Caenorhabditis elegans: one gene and its partner. The protein of the gene in region 1 purifies or fractionates together with the protein of each later gene. This does not show direct contact. Each region holds a gene or a part of one and is shown on either strand. Other genes may lie near its edges.

What was found. Proteins that work in one complex are often made in the same cells at the same time.
Region 2: the proteins of sgca-1 (region 1) and atic-1 fractionate together in Caenorhabditis elegans (co-fractionation; one large-scale study listed by BioGRID). This does not show direct contact.

The regions. Positions count from the first base shown.
Region 1 is NC_003284.9:6,785,947-6,792,800, reverse strand, and holds sgca-1 (Dystroglycan-type cadherin-like domain-containing protein), read left to right. Parts: upstream 1-3,252; 5' UTR 3,253-3,273; coding exon 3,274-3,424; intron 3,425-3,469; coding exon 3,470-3,568; intron 3,569-3,652; coding exon 3,653-3,760; intron 3,761-3,816; coding exon 3,817-3,909; intron 3,910-3,959; coding exon 3,960-4,083; intron 4,084-4,126; coding exon 4,127-4,289; intron 4,290-4,346; coding exon 4,347-4,436; intron 4,437-4,845; coding exon 4,846-5,024; intron 5,025-5,082; coding exon 5,083-5,288; intron 5,289-5,334; coding exon 5,335-5,498; 3' UTR 5,499-5,536; downstream 5,537-6,854. Other genes in the region: asp-3 (Aspartic protease 3), read right to left, coding at 230-985, 1,039-1,143, 1,195-1,471, 1,552-1,610; bgal-2 (Glycoside hydrolase 35 catalytic domain-containing protein), read right to left, coding at 5,537-5,677, 5,726-5,890, 5,938-6,081, 6,127-6,264, 6,531-6,608, 6,655-6,854.
Region 2 is NC_003282.8:7,879,581-7,886,317, reverse strand, and holds the start of atic-1 (Bifunctional purine biosynthesis protein ATIC), read right to left. Parts: upstream 4,291-6,737; 5' UTR 4,252-4,290; coding exon 4,230-4,251; intron 3,960-4,229; coding exon 3,712-3,959; intron 2,482-3,711; coding exon 2,370-2,481; intron 873-2,369; coding exon 781-872; exon of another isoform or gene 748-780; intron 1-747. Other genes in the region: srt-73 (Serpentine Receptor, class T), read right to left, coding at 5,284-5,398, 5,450-5,646, 5,948-6,058, 6,149-6,256, 6,304-6,435, 6,483-6,587, 6,639-6,737.

The DNA of each region.
Region 1 (6,854 bases):
GCTTTGGATTTTTTGTTTTCTTTGAGTACAGCATAAAATAAAACTCATAAAATTGTGTTTTCCTCCCACCCAATGTAAACTTTGTTATCAAGAAGCCAGTCAGGGTTTTTAGAATTCTTGCAAACGTATAGAAAGAACTGTTTTAGAACTTCTTATCATCACATAACCACATTTATTACAATCAAGCAAGTAATGGCATAGAAATTGAGTTTTTAAATTAGAAATAGGCTTATTTTCCGGTTCTAGAGGTGGCAAATCCAACTCTCTTGTTTCCATGATCGAAGACCGAGTAGAAGCGTCCGATGAAGACGTCTCCGAGAATCCAGAGTGGTCCGGCTGGGGCTGGAATATCCATTCCCATGAATCCAGAGAGGCAGGTGGATCCTCCGTTTCCGTTGGACATTTGAAGGATGTAGTCCTTTCCTTGAAGATCGAAGTTTTGTCCTCCGAGGTTGAAGGTGATGTTTGGAAGAGATGGAATCTTGCTGCACTCAACTTCGTACTCTCCATTGAAGAGTGGGATTCCTCCGATCTTGTGTTGGATCTTCTTGATGACATCAGTTGGTCCAGTGAGAAGGGAAGTTCCAGTGTCAACAATCGAGTCGATTGGTCCGCTGGTGTAGGTGGTTCCATCGATGACAACCGAAGCGAGCTTGATTCTCCAGTAGTCCTCAGAGACGAGTGGCTCCCAAGCGATGTTTCCGACGTAGTGGTTCGGATCGGTGTCGCAAAGGGTAATTTCTCCTCCGTTGGTGATGTCGTTGGCGTCACGGCTAAGCCAGAAAGCGAATAGTTGATTCTTGCAGATGGCGGAGTTGGCGAAGATTTGGTCCATTGGCTGAGAGATCTTGTTAACAGAGATAGTGTCCCATCCCATTCCGAAGATACCGTCAAACTTGGCAGCGACGAAGGTGATTCCTGGCTCAGAAGTAGCACAGGCCAATCCTTGGTTCTTATCAGTACAGTAGGTGGTATCATGTCCGAACTATAAATATATTTTTCAGCTATATTGTAAATAACATCATAAGATTGACTTACGCAGACAACATCGTTGTCAACGGTTCCCTTCATGGATCCAGTTCCGTATTGGATCTCGAAAGAGGCTCCAGTAGCAGTGCAGGAAGAAGACTTCTTGCAATCAAACTGAAAATTATTTTATTGAAAAAAAGTTGATTTGAATACTTCAAAACTAACTCTGTTGTGCATTCTGCAGGCAATATCTCCGAATGGGCAGTTGGCGCATGGCACCCACAAGTTGGAGGATCCAGTATCGAACAAAACTTGGAAGTTTTGTGGTGGAGTTCCAATGGTCACTGGTCCATAGTATTGAGCATTGGAGTAATCAGAAAGACCCTCGTTGAATGCATCCTTGTTTGGAATGTATCCTGGGACGTACTTGGCCTTAAGATGCTCTTGGATTGATCCGAACTTGTATTGTTCACGAGTGTAAGTGCGCTTCTCGAGCTTGATTCTAAAAAAAGAAGAAACATGATAAATAAATAAAATAAAATAATTTAAATATATGAATGGTATATTAAAAATGTAACTAACCTCTGGATGGCAGAAGCCAAGGCGACAAGAGCCAGAAGAAGGAAAACGCGGCCCGACATGGTGCGTTATCACTAATTGAGAAGCAGCGCTCCGGGTTTCTTTTATATGCGACACAAACTCTTGATGATATAATTGTAAACGTCACAACCGATTTTAGTGATAATTAGTAGAGGAGGTTGGCTGGCTGAAAACGGAATTATTTCCTCTCACCGAGTCAAAAGTTTAGATCGGCTATTAAAGTAGTGTACTTTGTGTGTAAAATGAGGGAAAACCATTAAAAAGTGTCCGGGTTGACAAAATGACTTGCTGACAAGGATCCGGATTTTATAGCGTTCTGTTTGCCAAAAGAACACATTAAACTTTTTCCAGCAAAATCATATGTACTTTCAGCAACAAGTCAACACTGCTTTGTCGTCGTCACACCCTCATCGTCATTCTGATCAAAATAACAATTTCAATGGCCTACAATTCAGATTTGTTCTCCCCTATTAAAATATGACTACACTTTAAAATTAGTTCTAGAAAGTTCCACACGTTAAAAATTTAATCGGCTTATTTTCACAAAATATGAAATCATTATCATTATCGTCAAATTGTCTCACAATTTTCGTTACGAAGTAGATAGGGAATACGAAATCAGAATTTGGACATTGGACTAGATGAAATAAATTGAGAACTGTTGCAGTGGTGGAGCAGGTGTGTATACAATTACTAATAATTTTAGAACCTGAAGTAATTTTTATAAATTTGTTTCATTGAACCAAGTATTGAAGTTTTAAGTAGTAAAACATGTGTTACTATAAATTGGCCGAAAGTTTTTTAACAATATTTTTTGTTGGCTTAAAAACACTTATATTAGTCGTGCATGACCAATAATCATAATATAAATATACATACTTCAAAAACTTTTAGATATATATACTTTTAAGTTGAAATTTTGGAAATTATATTGTTTTCCAGCCACTTCCAGAATTATGATAGGTGAAAACTAAGTTTTCTTGAATTTTCGACTGCACAAAAAATTTAAAAAGTCGTTTGAAAAGTTTCACTATAGTCTTAAACCTTTAAACCACAATTTAAATTTCATTTTCACAACGGCCAATACCCAACCTTTGACAAACTCTGAATTCTAGTTTTTTCAACAAAAAAAAGTGTATAAATGACGAAAATGAAAAAACTTTTTGTAGAATGATAAATTATTTCCCAGCCGCTGTGTCAAGGCTAATTAAACAAAATTGAAGTTTTACCTAGCTCTAGTTTTTTTTAATGATTTTAAAAAGTCTAACTTTGAAAAATTTACAATTTTCTTAATATTTACTCTTTCTTTAACAACTTTTTACCTTTTAGATTAAAAATTGTTCACCCCTTTTCTGAATTTCTGAAAGAGAGACTCTCCTGAAACCAAAATTCCAAATAAAGACATTCATATCACGTTTTCTTTCAAGTATCGTTTTTAATGTATATATTCATTATTTTTATCTTAAAAACATTATTGAGACGACATCAATCAACCCCACCACATCAGTTTATCTCATCAAGTTCATCATGCTCTAAAATATCGTCAACAATGATTTCCCCGGCGGGTCTTGTTGGCAGCTTCCCTCAAACCGCCAACCCAGTTGAGCTGTGTAAAAAGCAAAAGTTTGTGCGGACGGCTCAGCGAGCAGCCGTTGTAAAGGATCTCGTTCCACACATCTCTTTCACACAAAATCTTCACTTAAAATGAAAATTCGTTTACTCGATTTTTCGATATTCTCCATTTTGTTGCTATTTCGAACGTCGAAATCATTCAAAGCTCCTACTCACGTGACTGCAACCAAGGGAAAGTTTTTTGTCCACACTCTCCATTCTGCACACTTTTTCCCGAGCACAGGTGCAAACTATTGATCGTTTTTATCAATTGCTCTTTTATTTTCAGTTAAAGTGAAATGGGAAGCTACGCTAAACAAAAAGCCGGCTCTTCCAAACTGGTTACGTCTCTTACCGTCGCGACACCCGGAAATCGCTTATCTAATAGGTGATCGATTAGTTATTAACACACCAGTACATTCATAAAAATAAAATCATCTTATGATTTTTATCGTAGTTATGTATGTTTCAGGCACACCGGTCACAAATGTGCAGCATGTTACACTACACGTGATTGCGAAACGACTGGATAATTTTGATATACAGCAAAGAATGGTGGTGATTAATTTGGTGGAAGACTGTTAGTTTATAGTTTAGAACATTAAAAAAAAGAAACAGTAAACTGTAATTTTGCAGCATTGTATCAAGGAAATACGCAACAAGTTTTTGAACTGCCAATAAATGGACTAGATGTAGAGGATTTAGTTTCAAATCGAGACAGAAAAATAAGTGAGTAATAAAAAACACACTTTTGTCATCATCATCATAATATTGTTCAGGTCAACTAGAAAACTCATTGCGAAACACATTCCGGGGAAGAAATGTAAACCCATATATTGCAGGTGTTCGCTCCAGATACATTATTCCACGTGGCAAGGAGCACATTTTCAAAAATAGTTTCGGGTAAAAAAATGTTTTAATTCAATTCAGTTTTTGAAAAATTCAGAACAATGGTGTATGTTGGTACACAGCAAAAGTTCTATCCCGGAACCATGTCAATTGTACACAATTTACAAACTATGCCCGAGTTTTGTTCAAATCCCTCATCTGTCGTGATGAATAAGTATTTTGCACCAACATTTCCGGTGGACTGGTGTAATGTTGCGGTAGTAAGAACAAAATAATTAAATTTGTCAACATTCTAAAATGTTTAAATATTAATTCAGAGAAATATTTCATCTCTTGAAGGAGAAGGTATTGATGAATTGATAAAGGATGAACAAGAAGAGAAACTGACAAAAGCGAATCCAGATCAGGTAACTTTTAAACAAAACTCTACATGTTTTGAGAAATGCACAGCTTTGAAGCGACCGTAACTTAGTTTTCATTTGATTATTAGTTTATTCAACATTTTACACTGAAGAATAGCTTAACAAACCAATTGAACGGCTCGAATAAAGTAGTAGCGAGATGGAAATGGACGGATTAGCAAAGTTTGACAGTTAAGCATAAAATATGCATTTGGCCTTGAAATTTTACATAGCCACAATAATCGCGTGCGGTTATCGGGGTGAGCTGGCAAATAGCAAACGAAAGTATTGCGGCAAGTAACCATAACCTGAAAGAAGCGGACCGGGCATGTGATTAATGTTTTCTTCAAATTTTAGAATTTAATTTCAGAAATTTTCAAAAAAAAATTTCAGAAAAAATGTCTTTACATTTCAGAATTTGAACGAAAAACCTGAACAACCCCCACGTGAACTATATGGATACTCAGAACATGGTTTTAGCATCGTCTTATTTGCCATAATTCTTGGTGTTTCAATTCTTTTTGTTTTTGCACTCGTGCTCATTTTTTTTGGGTCAAGAGAAGGGCAGAAATGGAGAGACGACAAAACGTCTGGGTATATTTTACATTTTAACTTCAGTTATTGTACATGTTTGTACATAGCTAATTTACAGTGAAACATTGGGCGAATTCATTAGCATTCGTGACAATCAGAAGAAGCTCCGCGAACTATCACTTCAAAGGCAACTTCTGAGCATGGGACCAGACACGAACTCCACTGCGCCTTCTGGAATTCATTCTTATTTACAATCAAGAAGTAGAGCTCCAAGCACTAGTATTGCGAGATTTAGCAAAAGTGCGAGTAGACTTAATGATAAAGGTACTTTGGTTTTTAATATTATCTTTGATTAATTATGTTTGTTCAGAGGATACAATTGAGCTTCTCCCTTCAGTTGATCATGTCCCGGTTGGAAAACAAACTGTTGCAGAAGCGGCAAAACAGTGTGGAAGTTCTTTGCATTTGTACAGAAACCCTCTGAGTAATGAAAGTGATGAACAGGATACGGAGAGTTCTGATGAAGACAACTAGACTATTAAATTACATTTATAAGTATTCAATAAACGATCTCAATAATCAAACACCGGGATATTTGTGAATTTTGCTGTACAAGCAGTTGCTGTACAGGCTGTTGTGGCGCCTTCAAATTCGTAAAACATGATGAGATTTTCCCCTTTGTGAAGGAATTCCGATGGAATATAAAGAGTTTGCTGAAAATTAACTTTTGAAAAATATATTAAAAACAGTAAATTGGGCACCTGTGGTCCAATAGAAGCCCAATATCGTCCAATGTTGTACTGATTGATAGTCACAACGCCTTTTCCCCAACCTCTTGTGTCTAGAAAAGTGTCAGCTGGAGCTGTTTTGATTATTAAATTTCCAATGAACACCGACGGTTGCTCTATTGCTGCCGATTGAGATTTCTGTAAATAAAATAATATATGACGCACGTTTTTGAAGTAGCTGATACTTCAAAGTCAATTGTTTCGAAAACATGTTGCTTCAGACTCTCGTAATTTTTCACCAAACTAATTTCGTATGTTTCAATTGGAACTTCACAGCTCTCCCAATTCTCGAGAGTTATGTTACGCATGTAGACATTTCCTTGAATTCCCTGGAAGAAACTTCTCAATTGAAAACGTACACGTTGGGGCCTTACTCTTGACATAACAGGGTAGTTGTTATGGTCTCTACCAGTTATTTCAATTATGATTTCCAATGAGTTGAACTGGTCCAAACATCCTTGAACATCTATGGTGTTATTGTGAATTGAGCCAAATTGTTTGTAAAGGGCACCCTGAACAAAATAATTATGCTATCAATTTTGATAGTCATGACATAAATATTCAAGCAATGAATTCTCCTGAACTTCTTCTACAATGCTAAAATTAGCTATAAAAGTTTGGCACGTTTTTAATTTTGGAATTTCAAAATACCTTTTTCCATAACGGTAATTTTTTCAGTACCTTCAAATGTTTAGATTCAAATAAGCCAGGTTTAAATTTACAACTGTGCTCTAAATTCTTCACTTTTCAAAAATTCTATACAAATATAAAAGTTTACCACAAAGTTTTGATTCAAGAAAATATACGCATTGTCAGCAAAAGTTGGAATATACAGGGATCCGCACTCAATAATGGTCTGGAAAAACCAACACTATACGAAATTTAAAAATCTCAAAACCAACAGTATTATAATAAATGTATCCATATCCTTGACGAATATATTCAGCCGTTCTAGGCGTTTCTGGGCTGCTCCAGCATTCGGGATTTGCGCCAATTATGAAACCAGAAATTGTGTCAAATACTGTGAGTTGGACGTCAGGATACGCAGTCCGTGGTAAGTTAGCTGGAATTGGAGTCGGCGGATTCTGCCAGCCAGGAATGT
Region 2 (6,737 bases), on another chromosome or scaffold:
CAAAATATTTCATTCATTCTTTTAGCTTCATCTCCCTTTTTTTGGCTTTTCGGGTTAAAAAGAGAATACAAGAAAAGCGTGGTGATAAGTTATATGAAGGATCCTTGTTTTTATTTGTGGATTGCTGTGATCAAGAAGCTTTAACATCGTTTGAAGAACGAATCGATGAACAAGGAAATGTCTGTGCTCATTTTAGAGCCTACGTAATGTGCATTTAAAAAATGTAGTGACAGAAAATCACAATTAACTTGAAAAAAATAGTTCTGAAATTTGTTTAGTTAGGGATGTCAAACCGGAATTAATAGGACGTCCAGCATTCGCTTTTACTAATACTGGACGAGCAGGTACTATTTTTTCGGCGTTGCAATTAAATTTTTTTCTTTTCAAAAACCAGATTGCATGACTTTGGCTTATTGCAATAAATGAACATAGTTTTTGTTTTAAAATTCGTAAAGTTTGGAGCGAGAAGTGAAATCTGAACGTTTTTCACCACATCCAAGGTTTTCCAGTTGTTCTCAAAATCATGAAACTTTTTGGAAACATCCGAAATTGTTATCTGGTTCCGAATAATCTCTAAACAAGTAAATTTTTGGCTCAAAATATGTTCAATAAAATTAAAAAACTGGCAAGTGAACTGTAGAAAAAAAATCATATAAATATCTGATAACAATGTTTAATCATTGTAATTTAGTAGCTTAGTATTATTTCCCACATATTTATTTACTGGCCTTATTGAAGCTTTCATCGGTTGTGATGATTTATTAACCATCTAAAACTAACCTCCGAAATGATATGATCGTAGTCAGCAGGATCACAGATCACACTGACACGTTCGTGATTCTTGGCAGCTGCTCGAAGAAGCGTGACTCCTCCTGAAATTGAGAATGTAGTTGAAATCGAACGTTTCATTCTCTTTTATAGCTACAATGAAAATGGACCCACGGGGACAATTGAAGGTTTATAGATTTACTCTCTGATGTCCTACTGTACAATTAATAATAAAACCGGACACAACAACATTTTAAGAATATGAGTTTATATTGTGATATAGATTCTAGAAAAAATCTGGGCGGGTTTTACATACCCGGAAAAACAGGAAAAAAGGTGAAAGATTCATGAAACAAAAGCCCTTTTAATGGGATAAAAATGTAGGAAACGGTTGGAAAAACAAATACAATGGGTACAATTGAACGAATATTTCCACTTTTTTGTACTTTGTGCTAAGATCATAAAATGTCTATAACCTTATCCTTTTTTTAATATTAAAAAAACCATTCGATTAGAAGTTATAATATGGAAATTTCAATGATACCAAAAACTAGAGCTCAAGCTTTACGAAATGATGCATTCGTAAGATTTGCTCCTTTAAATGTTTCTGAAAGAATTTTCTGAAGATGATCACAGATTATATGAACTTATTGAGAGGAAGTATAGAATGAAAGTGTAAACGAATTATTATTTTCTCAGTTTTTTGTTGGTTGTATTGTCTTTTTTTGTGAATTCTCCAGCTTCCGTGTTAATTGAATTTATATTTTGAGGAACTAAAAAAGACGAACAAGAAGAAAATATAATTGTTTTGGTGTCAGAAAGGATTTAGGAAGGGAGAAGAACAATACATACATGTTTTCACAGTGATAAGTAGAGAACGATTTTTCAGAACCTGAACGTGCCCAATTTCACGAAATTGATATTTCAATTAGCTCAAATAAAACTACTTGATCATAGTATTGTATGTGATAATATTGCCAATTATTAAATCATTCACTAATGCTAAAATGACGAATTACATAACATAGTAAAACTTATCAAAAATCTTGAATTTTTATTTTCATCCAAAAGTGACAATTTTCCCCCTATCATAATAATGGAAGGCGACCGAAATATTATTTTTTATACAAAAAATATATTTTGATAATGTTTAAATTATTTTCAATTGAACATTGTAAGTCTTTGAAAATGCAAGAATGGTCTATTTCATTGACGAACATCCGTTTTAACTTGATTGAATTATTAGCTTGAAGTAGAATTACACCCCTTAAAATTATATGCTATTCCAATGAACTATAATATTTGGTAACTTATTTAAAAACAGGATGAACACTTTAAATTTGAAAAAATTCAACTTTTTAATCTAGGCCGTATGTTTTGGTTATGAAGTTCTGCTAAAATGATTTTCTGATTTCAATTTAAGCTGTTCCTGTGAAAAAATGTTGATGTTTGGTTTAGGGTTAGAAGTCACGAAAGGAGCAAAATAAGTCAAGTGCATAAATTGAAATCAAAAGGAACAAGGGGAAAAAGAAAGATGGCAACATAAAACAAAGTCAATTTTCCGGATGAATAAACTCAAAAAAAGAAAGAAATAAACGAACCAATGTCAATGTTCTCAACAGCTTCTTCTACAGAGCAATCCTTGGATTGAACAGTTTTTTTGAATGGATACAAGTTGCAAACCACCACTGAGACGAATGAAATGTTGTGTTTCTGGAAGAAAGAAAATAACCAAAAAATACAAGGAAGGAAAAGAAGATGAAACAAATTCAATTGAAAATAGAAAGAGAAGGTAATTGAATAGACACGGGCGGTAGAAACTGACACGTAGGCTTGCTCTCGGTGCATCATAACAACACCCCAATCAGTTGTGTTCGTTGATTTTTACGCCAATTTTTATGGATGTTCCAAGTTTAATTTTACTCTATGGTTGATGACGAAAGTTGAAGGTTTACAGATTATCTCACAAAAATCTTATTTTCACTCTGAATTGATAAAATATTTCTAAAAATACACAATAGAATTTCAAATAATATAATGTTCCTGGAGTATTATTTTTTGATTATCTCAGAGATTCAATGTTTATCCTGAAATGCAATATGACTGTAATACAATTTTCCGGCAAACAAAGTTTTTTGACTAATATTTTGCCGTTCTCCGTTCAACTGAACGCTAACTTTATGAAATTTTTTTTCGGTTTCTAATTAATAATTTAATTTTAAAGGTGACATATCTCAACTTTGTCTCAAAGTGTTCTAGCCATCAGGGCTGGCACTTTAATCCCAACAAGAGGCAAGACATAGGTTGCGAAATGCGCAAGTAACAAAAAATTGATTCAAAAAAATCCGAAAAAACTCTCTAACCCGTTTTCCAAAAAATTGTAATCCAACTTCAAAAAATTAACAAACAATTGTCAAAGTTTCAGATTAGACTAACTTTTTTTTTAAACAAAAGCGAGATATAATGTTTATTTAAAAAAAAATTATATAATTCGAAATAAGAATTGAAATTTGAATGAAGTCGTGACGACAAAATGAAGAAAAAGAGGACGAAAAATTGTCTTCTAATCTTCTTTTTGTCTCCTTCTCAACTCTTTATTTTCACGAGATAAGCCTTCTTCATCTGACGAAAGGACCAACTTTTTGTCACCCGTTAGCCCTTCTTTTTTTGGTTTTTTTTCTTCACTTCATTCTATTCAATCATGAATTCGATTAAACTAAGTAATGGTGAAATCTTTCAAGCCAGTACAAAGTTCATTTTGTGAGATTCCCGGAAGTTCTACAAAATCCGATCTTTTGTCAGAATTGTTTTGCACAAATGTTGCAAATTTATTTATTTCCACTTAATATAATTTGCAAGTTTCAGTTGAAAACGGTTCGACAACAAACAAGTTAGTTTACAAATAAAAAAAATTCAAAAAAAAAAGAAAATAAGCTATCTCACCTCTAGATCCTTTCGATCACTTTCCGTATCTCTTGCCAAGATTCCTCCATGAACGGCAGGATGCAGAGTTTTAACTCTTCCACCAAGCATCTCAGGAAACTTTGTTACATCTGCCACATCATGAACATCAATTCCTTGATCTCTGATCGCTTTCGCTGTTCCACCGGACGCAATAAGTGTTAAGCCAGCAGATACAAGTCCATGAGCAAGAGGAATAAGTCCTGTCTTGTCAGAGACCGATATAATGGCTGAAAATTAAAAATGTTTAGCTTTATACTTGCAGTTTATTTTAGTTCATTATTGTAGTAGTTTTCATTTGTTAAATACACAAAAAAGGGTTTTCCAAATCAAGGAGCGAGGTGGGTGAGGTTAGAGGCGGGGAAGAGGTGCCCCCGTAACGCCTCGACCTGGTGGAATGTCTAGTTCAATAAATAATTTTAAAGAATAGAAATGAATTATATTTATTCCGGGATTGCTTGAAAAATTAATTTAAAAAAATTCAAAATGAAATTACTTACCAAGTGATTTTCCGTCGGTCATTTCACACAATTCGTCGATGTATTGTATCAAGTCGATAGTCTTGTAAAATTCAATTTCTAACATTTTGTTTAATATTTTTTATTCGAGACGTAAAAATCACACAAAATAAAAAATGAACAAGGAACCAAAAAACACTAAAAATAGAAACTTTTGAGATAATCACAGGAAAACGATGGATGAGGAGAGCATGAGTTTATGCATTTATAAGTATTATTTTGTGAACTTTGAAATCTTGAACATTTTTGGAAAAATACACTCAGAAATTGGCAACTTTTTCAATGAAAAATGTCTTTTAGACTGGTCAAATTGAACAGTGTTGCTCAATTTTTCAATTGATAAGATAAATTTGATAACGAGGCAAATATTATTGTGTTTTTATTGCTTGTAGATGAAAGAATTAATAATCGAAAAAAAATCAGAAGTAGAAAATAAAAAGAACTTTGAAATCGATTTTAAATATCGCAAATATTATATAACTTTGAAATCTGTGTTGGTGTTTCAAAAACCAATAAAAATCTAATGTTTCTCTGTTCTTATAATAAAATCAAAGCTTCGAATTGGAGATATACGTACATTAATTTTTTTTTCTCGATTTGCCAGAAAATCTTCAAAATTTCAAAAAAAAATTCAATCGGTAGTTTCCCTTGATAACAAAACACAAACATTTTTATTATGAAGTGATGGTGTCTCTGTTTTACGACGGTTTTTATTTGTTTCTGTGTGTTATCAGTTTATCAATGTTTTACTTTGACAAAAGCTTTTTTACTCTGTCCACCTATACTTGCAGAATATTCCTTAAAATTGAAAATATCGAGAGGATCTGTTTCCTCTCATTTCAGTTGTTAGCAGTAAATTAGGCTTCATGTAAAAAGATTTCTGTGTCTAGATTTCATGGACCTATAAATAAATGTTTGGAAATCGATGACAAGAAATAAATTGTTTTTATTTCTAGACATAATTATTTTTTCTAATGATATCTTTCTATTTCTTAAATTCTAAAAACTAAAAGTTATATTTTATTTGAAGACCTGACTACATTTTAGCTCCGGATTGTCGAACTGTTGATACGTGCGAAGCAACAAACATTGTACGTCCACTGACTTCTGTTTGTTTTCCAATTGATGCTAATACCAGGTTACGAATACGACTGCAACTTTTTTTAAAAATGTTTTCAGTCAACCAAAGTTCTAAAACTTACGGATTAATTAATACATAAAGCATTGAATTGATTGAATTCCAAATCATCCATACAACATGTCCAATGAACACTCCAATTGGTAATTCCCATGGAATTGGTAGATATTCCCATGTCAAATACCCAATAACATGAAATATAGAAACACATAATACTTGAATTGTCAATATTAATTCTTTCTTTGACAATAATGCTGCTTTCTGAAAATCAACAAATGTTGAAAAATAATGAAACATTAGCTCTTCTGAAGGGAAATGAAAAGTTTCAAAACATTCTTAATACAAATATCTGCCCTTTGTTTGCGACTACTGTGAAATTTTTTTCATATACCTAAAACGTTTTGAGATTTGACGAATTGAAAATTTAATTCGAAAATCATGGGGTAGCTGTAGATGATATTGTACTTGAAAGTTTTTTGCATGAAATACTGTAGAAACAGTTTTCGATAAGTTTTTTTCTTCAATTTTCTTTGAAACGAAATTATATGTATGTTTTACTCACAAAATAAATATAACTGAAGATAACCAAATGAGCAAATAATGAGAATACGACATCTATTAAAGATATATCAGCACTTACAGACCTTAATACAGCTGATAATGGATTTGAAGCCTGGAAATAAAATTGAAAAGTTGACTATCATTTGGCAATATGCGAAGCTTTCGCCAAACATAAAGTGGGACTTCTCACAGTTGTACTCACGGCATAGTGCCACGTGTAAGCAGGTAATAAATAAACCATTCTACTGAATCCAAAAGCATTTAAAAAACAAACTATACACCATACAATTAGAACTATAGTGAAATATATCTGAAAGGACGGAATTGAAAAAAAGATAAATCATGTTAATAACCTACTTTCATATTGAAAGAATTAAATATTTTGTTGGATTGAAAATGAAAAACAATTGAAATGAGCCGATTAATATTTAAAAATATGCTGAGAATGAGCATTGAGACCCATGATGCATTCATCACAGCTCCGATTAACTGAAAATAAAAAAAAATCAGGATAAGATCTGCTAACGAAGACATACATAATCGGGAAAATCAAAGTGAGGTTTAGAATTTAAAATGTAGAATACTGCAGTTAGATGTATAAATAATTGAATTGTGTCAAAGAAAGATATCATAAACATTATCTGAACATTTCGCAATGGCTAAAGAAACAAATCATGAATTATATTACTCACCTGAAATGCAGATAACTTTTTTAAATCCTTGTCAGTTATCATAACACGCATTACCAAAAATTGAAGAATTATAAAGAAAGTACAAAAAATTAGAATGAA